Ovis aries: one gene and its partners. The protein of the gene in region 3 interacts with the protein of the main gene of each other region in a pairwise test. Links are inferred from orthologs where the notes say so. Each region holds a gene or a part of one and is shown on either strand. Other genes may lie near its edges.

Region 1 (3,650 bases), on a different chromosome or scaffold from region 3:
CACAGACTCTTCTTTCTACACTAGTGGCAACCAGGAAAAACATCCATGTTGTAGAACATGCTACCCTGAACAGAGACATTTTCTTTTTAGTTTCTTCAACACTAAGGTTCAGAGATATATAGTTAAAGGTGTCTCTCTCTTCCATGGCATAATCTGTTCAGTTGAAGCTTCTTGCCAAGAAACATATCCCTTAGGAGAAAACTCTGAAAACAGAACTGCAGAGGCAATTAGCTTTACTGTAATTACTGTACTTGCCTAGCAACCACCATGCAAATGCCTGGAATCCATCATTCTCAGCTGAGCTGGACTGGGAAGTCTAGGAAATAAAAAAACATATGAGGTACAGAGACCAGAACTACATGCAAGGGGCCTTGATACAAGGAAAATATTTATGTCACCCATTTCCCTCCATAATTCTCTTTCAAAGATGTAGATCCTTGTATTACATGAGTACTTACATTTATTGTATCATTAATAAGTACCTGGGCATCCCTGGTGAGGAGTGAATAGAAATCATTTGTGAACAGACTCTTACCACCTGCTTCGCCGACATGAAAGTGCAAACAAATATCCCCACAGACACCAGGGCAATGGAGGTATATTTGAAGATACTGTATCTGCAAAAATAATAAAAAGAGCACAGATATGAATTTCCACATGATGCTGACAGTAAAGTGTGGTTCACGAACGTACAGATCACCAAGACATGATCAAGGGGATCACTTCTCAGCAGAGTCCACCTAAGTCTGTGCGTGAAAGAATCAGGATACTGACTCGTTTCTAGACCACACCCTTTCTGGCGGTGTCCAAGACTTAGTACATCAGAAAACTGTTTCATCAGACTGTTTCATCAGAAAACAAAAAAAGACAGATCAGGCACGACAGTCCATTCTGCTCTTGTGTCTAAATGAAAGTCTGACAGATCTTAATACGGAATTCCTGTTCCTTTTCCTGGTTTCTGGGGCCCAAACATAGTGTGAAGAGACACAGCCTGCAGGGGAAGAACAGGACAGATGGACTACCAGGACAAGCAGCAGGATTCCACCTTCAGAAAAGAATTCAACTGTCCCTTTTCAGGGGAGGGTGCTGTCTTAATGTCTCTGAATGACTTAAATATTGTTTTTAAATGTGGGCATAGTTGGATAAAGCGAGTAATACTAAACCAATAGGACTGTTAGCAGGAATAACGGTGGCATTTCACAATAACTATAATAGTATCAATTAACATCCCTTTCAGGCTCTTGGTGAAGCAAAACGCTTCCGGCGACAATAAAAAGGTGTTAAAACCTTCAGAAAATCTGAAATTTTCTACTGAAATATTTTGTATAGTTCTGGTCACAGCGTGTCAGAAAAAGGCCAAGGGGTGACTAAGAACCGGCCAAGGGGTGGGGCAAGGAGCCAAAAGCACCCCTCTAGAGAAGAGGGGTGGGTGAGGAGACAGGCACTGCTGCCCCAGATGTATAAACAGACGGGAGCTCTTCAGTCTGCAATGATCAGAGACAGAGGTCTGAACAATCATGAAGAACACAGTTAAGGTGAATAGAGGTTTGGTCTATAGTGGGGAACACATATAAACTTGAAGGGGTACTACTCAAGATAAGCAAAAGGAGATGCTAAATGACTAATCCATGATATAGATAGTTAGCTTAGAGAAGTTTCTGCTCTCTGGGTAAGACCTACTGGACTGAGTCAAAAAGAGAGAGAGATAACAGACTCAGAACAGGTTCTTAAGGAAAAATTGGATGTTTGATAAAGGCCCCTGACATTTGGGGTATGTCAGAATATTAATGCATTCCTTTTATAGTAAATTCTTCCATATCCCTGCTATGCACCAAAATCAAAGGTTATAAAGACCACAGGTCTGTCCCAATGTGAATTTTACACTACCAAGAAGCACAGGGGTCACTTCAAAGGTAATGAGCCTGAGCATTATCTCTGTGTGCTTGAACAGAAGAGCCTAGAAAAGCAATCAACTACGAGGGTGTTCTCATCTGGGGAATATATGAGCCTCGGGAGATAAAGAGCTCATCACCAGGAGCCAGCAGGATAGGACAATTATCCTTTTTATGACCCAGTCCTTTTTACTTAAAAAACCCTAGGTTCCCATGCTGAGCTGACAGCTACTTTCCAAGCTGGTACAGAGTTCCAGTACTGGGATTGGGTATGGACTACATTGAAAAGCTGGCACCAACTCACATTTTTGGTCCTAACAGTGAGGCTGAACTTTCCCTAAGAAACGTTCCGGCCGGTATGTGCTGTCTCTGCCCCTTGCCCCTCCTCCTTGGGTGTGAGGGGTGAGGCTCTGAACGAAGGTGAGACAAAAATCCCTGGAAACAGCATCCCAGGTACTGCTACTTTTTTTTTTAAAGATTGTTTTTTGATGGAGACCATTTTAAAGTGTTTATTGCATTTGTTACAATAGTGCTTCTGTTTTATGCTTTGGGGTCATGTGGGATCTTAGCTCAACCAGGGATGGAACCCGCACTGCCTGAATTAGAAGGTGAAGTCTTAACCACTGGACCTTCAGGAAAGTCCCTCATGTACTTCTGATACTTCCCAACTGTACCCAGAGTGAGCTGCTCGTGATAGCCACAAACACCAGTCCTAAAACTTTTCCTTGCCTCTTCTTGGCCACTTGGGCCTTTGTTAGGAATCTTCTTTGTAATGGGTATGATTATTCCTTAGTTCACTATGCTGTATGCTTCCTAGGAGAGCCCTGTCCCACAGAACTTTGGTAAATCTGGAAATGTTCCACACCTGGGCTCTCCAATATGGTTACTACTAGTCACACATGGCTACTGAACATTTAAAATGTGACTAGAGAGATGGAGAAACTATATATTTAATTTTATTTACTTAAAAAAATTTGTATTTATTTTACTTTATTTTACTTTACAATATTGTCTTGGTTTTGCCATACATCAACATGAATCCGCCATGGGTGTACATGAGTTCCCAATCCTGAACCCCCCTCCCACCTCCCTCCCCATACCATCTCTCTGGGTCATCCCAGTGCACCAGCCCCAAGCATCCTGTATCCTGCATCGAACCTAGACTGGCGATTCGTTTCTTACATGATAGTATACATGTTTCAATGCCATTCTCCCAAACCATCCCACCCTCTCCCTCAGAGTCCAAAAGTCTGTTCTGTACATCTGTGCCTCTTTTGCTGTCTCGCATACAGGGTCATTGTTACCATCTTTCTAAACTCCACATATATGTCTTAGTATATAGTCACATGTAGCCAGTGATGACCATGCGGGACAGTAAAGTTCTAGATCAATTGCTTCATAAGTTACTGTTGTTATTTAGTTGCGAAGTTGTGTCTGACCCTCTGTGGACTATAGCTTGCCAGGCTCCTCTGTCCCAGACAAGAAGCCTGGAGTGAGCTGCCCTTCTCTTCTCCAGGGGATCTTCTCAACCCAGGAATTGAACCTAGGGCTCTTGCATTGGCAGACAGATTTCTTTACCACTGAGCCACCAGGGAAGCCTGGCTTCACACGTTAGTATGGTACTAAAGATTTAATGACAGGAGTCTATTAATTCTACACAGAGAAAATGCTGCTCCAAAGGCACAGGTGGAGCCTCTTCCCTGATCCACTGCCTCAGGAATGGGCCTCACTGTCACAGACAGAACCAAGAACCAAGGC
Region 2 (3,650 bases), on a different chromosome or scaffold from region 3:
TTTCAGCCTTGCCAACCCAAAGCAGAAAGACATAGTCTCCATACTCTGCTGTCTCTGTCCAGGAGCTTCTCGCCAGCATTTCAAGTTTAGAAGGAATCTATCTTTTTACCTTTCAGGATAGCTGTCTCCAAGCTATCCCAGGACCATTTATTTGCCAAGATCATTCAAAGACAACTCACCAGGGAAACCAGTGTGGCTGCAGCCCCCACAAATGCAGCAATAAACAGATGGAAGGTCATTTGGAACTGTAAGAAAATGCAGAAGAACTGGGTCTTGCAACTTTCAGAAGGTGCTGATATTTCTTTGTGTGTTAATTTGGCGTCTCTAACTAACTTATCACATCCCAGAGTATAGGCCTCCCATTCTTCCGTGTACCCATAGCACCCAGAACATAGAATACTCACAAAATAATATAGTCCTCCCAAATAATCAACTGGTTCCCCACGGTTGTGCCTGGGATCGCAAAACATTTTGCTTTCAAAGAAATAGTTTACTGCCTTCTTCCTTCCTTTTATTCCCCTGCTGCATTTGTGCATAATATCCACTTTCAATACAGTGTTTTCCTTTTTCAAATGTACTTCCTTTTTAAATGAGATTGAGAAGTTCCCAACAAAATATGTGTTATAAAATCTATGAATATCTGTGCACAACTCATTTCCTTGATAAGGTTTTTTAGAATAAAAATGTTCACTTGGGGGATTTTGCCATTAAGCTCTATCTTTACCTAAAGCTACAAATTTCTCTTTTAAGAGAGGAAGCCTTAGAATGGAAGATTTTATCTGCTGTTTTTAGGAAACTAGATATTTTACCATGTATACGCTCACTGGCTCAGGCGATATTTCATAGAAGGCAATCTGCTAACTCAAAACCCAGCAAAGAGAAACTGTAGTCCTAAAAATCCAAGATGGATAGAAATGTTACAGTTTGGGCGATTTGACTGTAAAATAACCCAGTGGCTCACTCACCTCAGCTGTTTTGCAGATGGACAGAAGGTTGGAGCCACACACCTTGCCAGGGAAAGCATTCCATGGGAGAACACCTAAGTAAGAGACAAATATCACAAGGTAAGCTTCACAGAGCTTTGGGGTTACCTGGAGAACTTCTTTCGTCTTTAATCATCCTGGCTGAAAAGTTGGGTCCTGCTAATTATCAGGATTTTCTTTTCTAAAGATTTACTCAAAAAATAGAAGGTGGTATTGAACAGTTGCAAACTTTTCTGTTTGTTATTGAAATGGGCTGCTTCTGGTTTCAGAACAGCAGTCAACTAAGAGAGGAGTGCAAACAGCCAAGAAAACTGCCACCACTTCCAACAAGTTCCCTTCTCAGGGAAGAAATCTCTCTGGTTTCAGTGGAGAGGGATTAACGAACTAAGATCCAAGCACCCATACTTCTTATTTCTCCCCATAGTTACCACCCTCCTTAGCCTAAGAACCAAATATATCATGCTTCGATAGGGAGTAGGAGGGCCAAGCCGCCCTAACTCACCATACATTCTGGCATCAGCACAGAGAGTGCCTATACTTGCAGAGGTCTTGCTGGGGGCAGCAATAGACTGGCAGGTGGTCCAGGTGTTGAAGTAAATGTATACAGGCACAGCAGAGCAGGCAAACACCAGGAGCCACACAACGGTCAGGGCATAGGTGATGCCCACAAACTAAAACAATTGACATGGAGCGGTTAGAAATCAGTGTCAGTCTGCAGACATTGAAATGTAAACAAAGAGATCCTGGAATGGCATGTGCCAGACATGAAACCAGATTTCAGGGATCTCCGCCAAATAAAATTAGTAAGCGGGGCACCTTTGCCAAATGTCATTGGCAGTATCTTATCTACTAGAGAATTGGCCCCAAGTAATGACGGGGAGGGGGAGAATGGGTGGGGGTTGGAGTGAGGAGGACCCCTGGGTTAGAAAGGCTTCGGGAGATTGTTTTGACAGAAAAGGTGTGAAGAAATCAAAAAAGATCTTGAAAGAAAGTCGTGCCATTTAAATGCCTTAGGCTGAGCTTAGAAAATGTCCCTTGTCAAAGGACTTTGGATCCCTAGTTATTGAACAAAGCCAATAAGAGATTTCAATTTCCAATCCAAAAACCTTTCTAAGCCAACTGCTAGCCACAAAAGATAACAGCACAACCCCCAGATGTTCAGCCCCCAAATGGTCTTTAACTCTAGAGGCTGGAAACCAATGTGTACCTCACTAGAAGCATAATAGCCCTCTGACAGATAAGGCCTTAAACATGCAGATCTATGCTAGTTCCCTCTGGGACCTTCAACAATGTAGGATCCCAGAATAGTATGGATTCCATCTCAGAGTCAATTTCTATGATCCACCCTCCCTGTCAGATCAGGAACCTACATCTCAATCCACTGAGTAACATTTCAAATTCTTAGGCAGTCAGATCTACTCTTGTTGTGGTCCCAGCTAGGAAGGGATCAAAGAGGTACCGGTAGATGGCTTAGAAATGGTCTGATTGTATGAAGCACCCCACATAACTCAGGCTTTCCCTTTTGAGATGAAATTTTCTAGGGACATTTTGAAAAGTGAGGCTAAGCCGGCTGGGCACCACGTTCTTCCTGACCTTCTCATTTGGCCGTAGCCATCAGGTCCTCACTCAGAAGCCAGGCCCCTAGAGAGGACCCAGCCTTGGGTGGGGATGAGGCCACAGACTCATGCCCAGTTGTCCCCCACCCCTTGTTATTGCCACAAAATCCTGAGGATGATCACCTTGTCGGGATGTCCTAGCCATTTTCCCAAACAATGACACACCCGCTCCAAAGAATGAGCTTGATGTTGGCCTCTGGAACCCCTCCCCTTCTGGCCCCCTGTTACCGTTGCACTCAGGCCCTTGCCGCAGATGGTGGTCTTGTAGTCGCCAAAGATCTGCCTGACTGCGCCGGTGGTGTAGAAGCCCTCGGCCAGCAGGAGGGCCCCATAAAGGAAGAAGAAAGAGGCAGTTCCATAGATGACATACTGGAAAGCATGGATCCTGTGTTAACAGATAACACAAAGCCAGAAAATCTTATGCATGGAGGACCTGGTTCCCTTGCTGCATAAGTCAGTTGGACTCTTGAATAGGCTCCTAAACAAGGCTAGGGTTGCTTTAGGGGAATCACTAGGTTCTTCCTTTAGGCTTCTACCTTGTACTTATTGAAGTAACTGGAGAAGGGAATGGCAACCCACTCCAGTACTCTTGCCTGGAGAATCCCATGGACAGAGGAGCCTGGCGGGCTACAGTCCATAGGGTCACAAAGAGTCAGGCACGACTGAGCAACTAACACTTATTGAAGTAAAAGAAGATGCTCCTCCCCCACATTTGGCTTACCCTGTGACCTGAAGAACTGGGACCCTACTTTCCTTGGCCTGACCCTTCAGAGATGCTCCCTCAGAGGAGAGAGGAGAGAGGAGCTAGGTAAGAAGGAAGACGGATGAAGGAAATAGAGCCTAACTTGCTCTAGAAACAGGAGAGGCTTAGTACTGGGCCAGAGCACACTCAAGTGGTGTGGTGAAACGAGAGCAGCGGCCGGCCTCTTGTCTCATCAGTCTGCCTCCGGCAAGTTCTCTATATGGACCACTGCAGAGGCTCCAGCTCAGTCCATGTGAACCCTACCTAGCAGAAATGAGAACACGTGAGACAAAGCAAGGGCAGGGGTGG
Region 3 (3,650 bases):
CCCTCGGAGACCTTTCTCTAATGCCTCCTTCGTCGGTGCTGTGGTTACCATTCAGGGAATCTGGCAGTGTCTCTGGCAGCGTAATCTGCCAGACATTACATTATGGGGGTCTCATGGCAACACACACACCCAGGCCTGCATGGTATTCACAGTCGGTGTAGGGTCATTGTCCTCCAAACAAGACGGCCCTGGGCTCAGAGGCCACGGGAAGCCCTTCTTCCCTGAACTCGGGAGCTAGAGGATGTTCCTGGGCCCCCACTCTCTTCCCTGAGGCCTGTCTTGCCTTCTCTAAACACAGGAACGTGCCTCTGCTTCCTCTGGGATATGCCTGGAACCCTGAGCCCAGCTACTTTCTTAATGCTGTAGGGCAGACACCCCCCGCCTCAAGGCCCAGGGAGGGAGGGAAGTTGGCGGGCCTGGTGGGGACAGGCCCCCGGAGCAGCTGTTGGAGCCCTGCCTCTTCCGCAGGCCCCAGGAGAGATGACTCAGCTGCCAGTGATCAAAGCTGAGCCCCAGGAGGTGAACCAGTTCCTCAAAGTGACACCAGGTGAGTGTGTCTGGAGGGGGGCTCTTCGTCTCCAGTCTTGGACAGACCGCATTCCTTACCCCTCAGTTCAGCCCCGTCTCCCTCAAAACGTCCCTTTTCTCCCCGTGAGTCTCTCCTCCCTTCTGTGCCCATTCTCCGGCCCTCCAGTCCCCTTCCTACCCATTCTACAGCTGTCGTCACTGTTATCGCCACCTTCTCGCCCTGTTTGCCAGTTTCCCCTCCCATCATTCGCTAACTGAGGTCCTCTCCGTAGCCATCAGCCCATCCTTTTACTCATTTATCCGTCCATCTGTCCATTCTTCCATCTATCCATTCATCCACCCATCCAACGAGAGTACATTGGGCCTCTCCTAGTTCCAGGAACTGGGGACACAGAGAGAGAAAACAGTCGTTGTACCCAAGGAGCTCACACAGTAGGGTCACGGACAAACCACTAAATTATACAGTTGTGTTATGGGTTAAAGATGACAGATCCCAGGAAACACCTCCCCAGATCTGACAGGAGAGAACAGAGGGAGCTTCTCAGATTGAGCAGGAGAGAGAACTAACTTAATCTCTCCAATCCAACCTCATTCATTCATCCAACACTGATTAAGCATCAACTGTGTATCAGGCTCTGGGCTAACCATCCCAAGGTTCAGGAAGATGAACAAGGCCCAAGTTTCATCCTCAAGTTACTCACAACAACCTCTGACAGAAGACAGAATTAACTGGAGGTAGAAAGGGACCAGTGTGAAAACACCTTACATCATAAAGCACAGTCACATCCATCAGCCCACTGCATCCTCCCAGCTCCATACAGGGAGTCATTCCACCCCCAGTTAAACAGGGAAGTGAGGCTGGGAGGTGATAAGTAAGCATGAATATAGGTCACATAGTTGTGGGGTACAACAGTCAGGACTTGAACTCAGGTCTGACTCCAAGTTCAGTGCTCTTTACAGTACGGCATCCACGAGAGGCAGATGACACCAAAGAAGAGAGAGGGGCCTCCTGTAGGAGGCGGTGGGGGGCAGAGCCCGGAAGGACGCAGTGGTTCCTCCCAGTCTCAGCCCAGCTCTGCGGTGCAGTGGGCTCCAGATTCCCACGTGTGTGTGCACGCGTGCTCAGCTGTGTCCGACGCTGTGCATCCCAGGGACTGCAGCCTTCCAGGTTCTTGGTCCTCTGGGCTTGGCCCAGGCCTCTTCCCGATGCTGCGGCCCAGAGAGGCAGCAGGGAAGGCATGCTGGGGAGAGCAGTGCTCCTGGCGGGTCTGCTGAAAGCCCTGTTACCCTGAGGTGGGAAATAGACACCCTGGTGTTCTGAAATGGAAAGAAAGGAAAAGAGGCTGCCGCTTGCCCTGCCTGATCCCCGTGGGTCTCGCTGTGGGCAGACTCTAGTCATCTCCTGGGGTTGCCAAGTTGGAGTGTCACAGACCCTGAGCCCTGTGAAGTCAGGGTTTAGTCACTAAGCCGTGTCCGACTCTTGCAACCCCAGGGACTGTAGCCCGCTAGGCTCCTCTGTCCATGGGATTTCCCAGGCAAGAATAGTGGAGTGGGTCGCCATTTGCTTCTCCAGGGGATCTTCCCGACCCAGGGACAAGGAGCCCCGAGAATCCAACCTCTGTGTTATCCCTGCCAAGTATTAGTGTTAGCCACTCAGTCATTTCCAACTCTGCGACCCCATCCACAGACTACACCAGGCTCCTCCGTCTGTGGAATTCTCCAGTAAAGAACACTGGAGTGGGTAGCCATTCCCTACTCCAAGGGATCTTCCCAACCCAAGGAGGGAACCCAGGTTTCCTGCATTGTAGGGGGATTCGTTATCGTCTGAGCCAACAGGGAATTCCCACCAAGAATCGGGTTTAAAGGAGCTGGGCTTGGTGGAGTCAGAGAGGGCATGGCCTTCAGATATTGTCTTCTGGGATGCCAACTCTACTTTCTGACACGCTAGGGTCCAGGGGTGGGGGTGGGGGGTGTCTTCTGACGTTCTAGGGTCAAGGCCGGAGCAGTCTGCCCACATGCCTTTGGGACCGGCTTAGGCCCCCGCTGTGCTGAACTCTGTCTGCCCGGAGCTGGGGCGCCCGGCTAACCTGGTTTCTCCTACTCCCCGCAGAGGACCTGTTGCAGATGCCCCCGACGCCCCCCAGCAGCCACGGCAGCGACAGCGACGGCTCCCAGAGTCCCCGCTCTCTGCCCCCCTCCAGCCCTATCCGGCCCATGGCCCGCTCCTCCACGGCCATCTCCACCTCTCCACTCCTCACCGCCCCTCACGTAAGCGGCTGGGGCCGGACTGACCCCAGAGTCGAAGAATCCAGTGTCTGGGGGGAGCCCTAAACCTGATCCCACCCATATCAGAACACAGGAGGCGCCTGCCCCACAGATGGGAGTGAAGATCTTTTAATTGTGCTTGGGGATGAATAGGAGACAGGAAGAGTCCAGGAGGCCTGCTGAACCCGCTGGTGGCCAAGCTAGGTCTACAGCTTAACATTCCTGACCTCCAGGGGGACGGCCCAGGCTGCCTCCAAGGAGCACTGTCTGCAGAGCAAAGTTCAGGAGGCCCAGGAGCCCTGGGACGGGTTGAGGAACCCTCAGTCTAGAGGTGCTAGGTGTCCGAGGTGGGTGCTGTTCACGGGGCCCTGGACAAGTAAGCTCTGAGGCTGTGGATTCCACGATGGGATCTAGAGACCAGCCCTTCCCAACAGTATATTAAGGGCCTAACATGCCAGGCTGCCAGCAACATCCTCAGCACTTGTGACATGTTACTGGATTTAATTCAGATCCGCCCCTCTTGCAGATGAGGAAACTGAGGTTCAGCGAGCTGGGTGCCTTGCCAAGGTCATGCCCAGGGTAAATGGCTGAGCTCGGATTTGAATGCAGGGCTGTCTGGTTTCTAACTAGTATGTCCCCCTTGCCACAGAAATTACAGGGGACGTCGGGGCCGCTGCTCCTGACGGAGGAGGAGAAGCGCACCCTGGTTGCTGAGGGCTACCCCATCCCCACCAAACTCCCCCTCACCAAAGCCGAGGAGAAGGCCTTGAAGAGAGTCCGGAGGAAGATCAAGAACAAGGTAGAGCACGAGGCAGACCCTAGCCCTGCCCTGGGGCTTCCTTGGGGGTGGGGCTCTG

Evidence for each region. The genes of interacting proteins can lie anywhere in the genome.
Region 1: the proteins of CREB3L1 (region 3) and SLC35B4 interact in binary tests that used the Homo sapiens proteins (3 or more experiments, as listed by UniProt). The two-hybrid records come from large-scale screens. The link is inferred for Ovis aries from reciprocal best matches to the Homo sapiens genes CREB3L1 and SLC35B4.
Region 2: the proteins of CREB3L1 (region 3) and PLP1 interact in binary tests that used the Homo sapiens proteins (3 or more experiments, as listed by UniProt). The two-hybrid records come from large-scale screens. The link is inferred for Ovis aries from reciprocal best matches to the Homo sapiens genes CREB3L1 and PLP1.

What each region holds. Positions count from the first base shown.
Region 1 is NC_056057.1:99,624,519-99,628,168, forward strand, and holds part of SLC35B4 (nucleotide sugar transporter SLC35B4), read right to left. Parts: intron 618-3,650; coding exon 536-617; intron 317-535; coding exon 256-316; intron 1-255. UniProt on the Homo sapiens protein: Antiporter that transports nucleotide sugars across the endoplasmic reticulum (ER) membrane in exchange for another nucleotide sugar.
Region 2 is NC_056080.1:129,387,402-129,391,051, reverse strand, and holds part of PLP1 (myelin proteolipid protein), read right to left. Parts: intron 2,985-3,650; coding exon 2,723-2,984; intron 1,655-2,722; coding exon 1,486-1,654; intron 1,040-1,485; coding exon 966-1,039; intron 246-965; coding exon 180-245; intron 1-179.
Region 3 is NC_056068.1:75,243,518-75,247,167, forward strand, and holds part of CREB3L1 (cyclic AMP-responsive element-binding protein 3-like protein 1), read left to right. Parts: intron 1-468; coding exon 469-547; intron 548-2,638; coding exon 2,639-2,796; intron 2,797-3,442; coding exon 3,443-3,592; intron 3,593-3,650.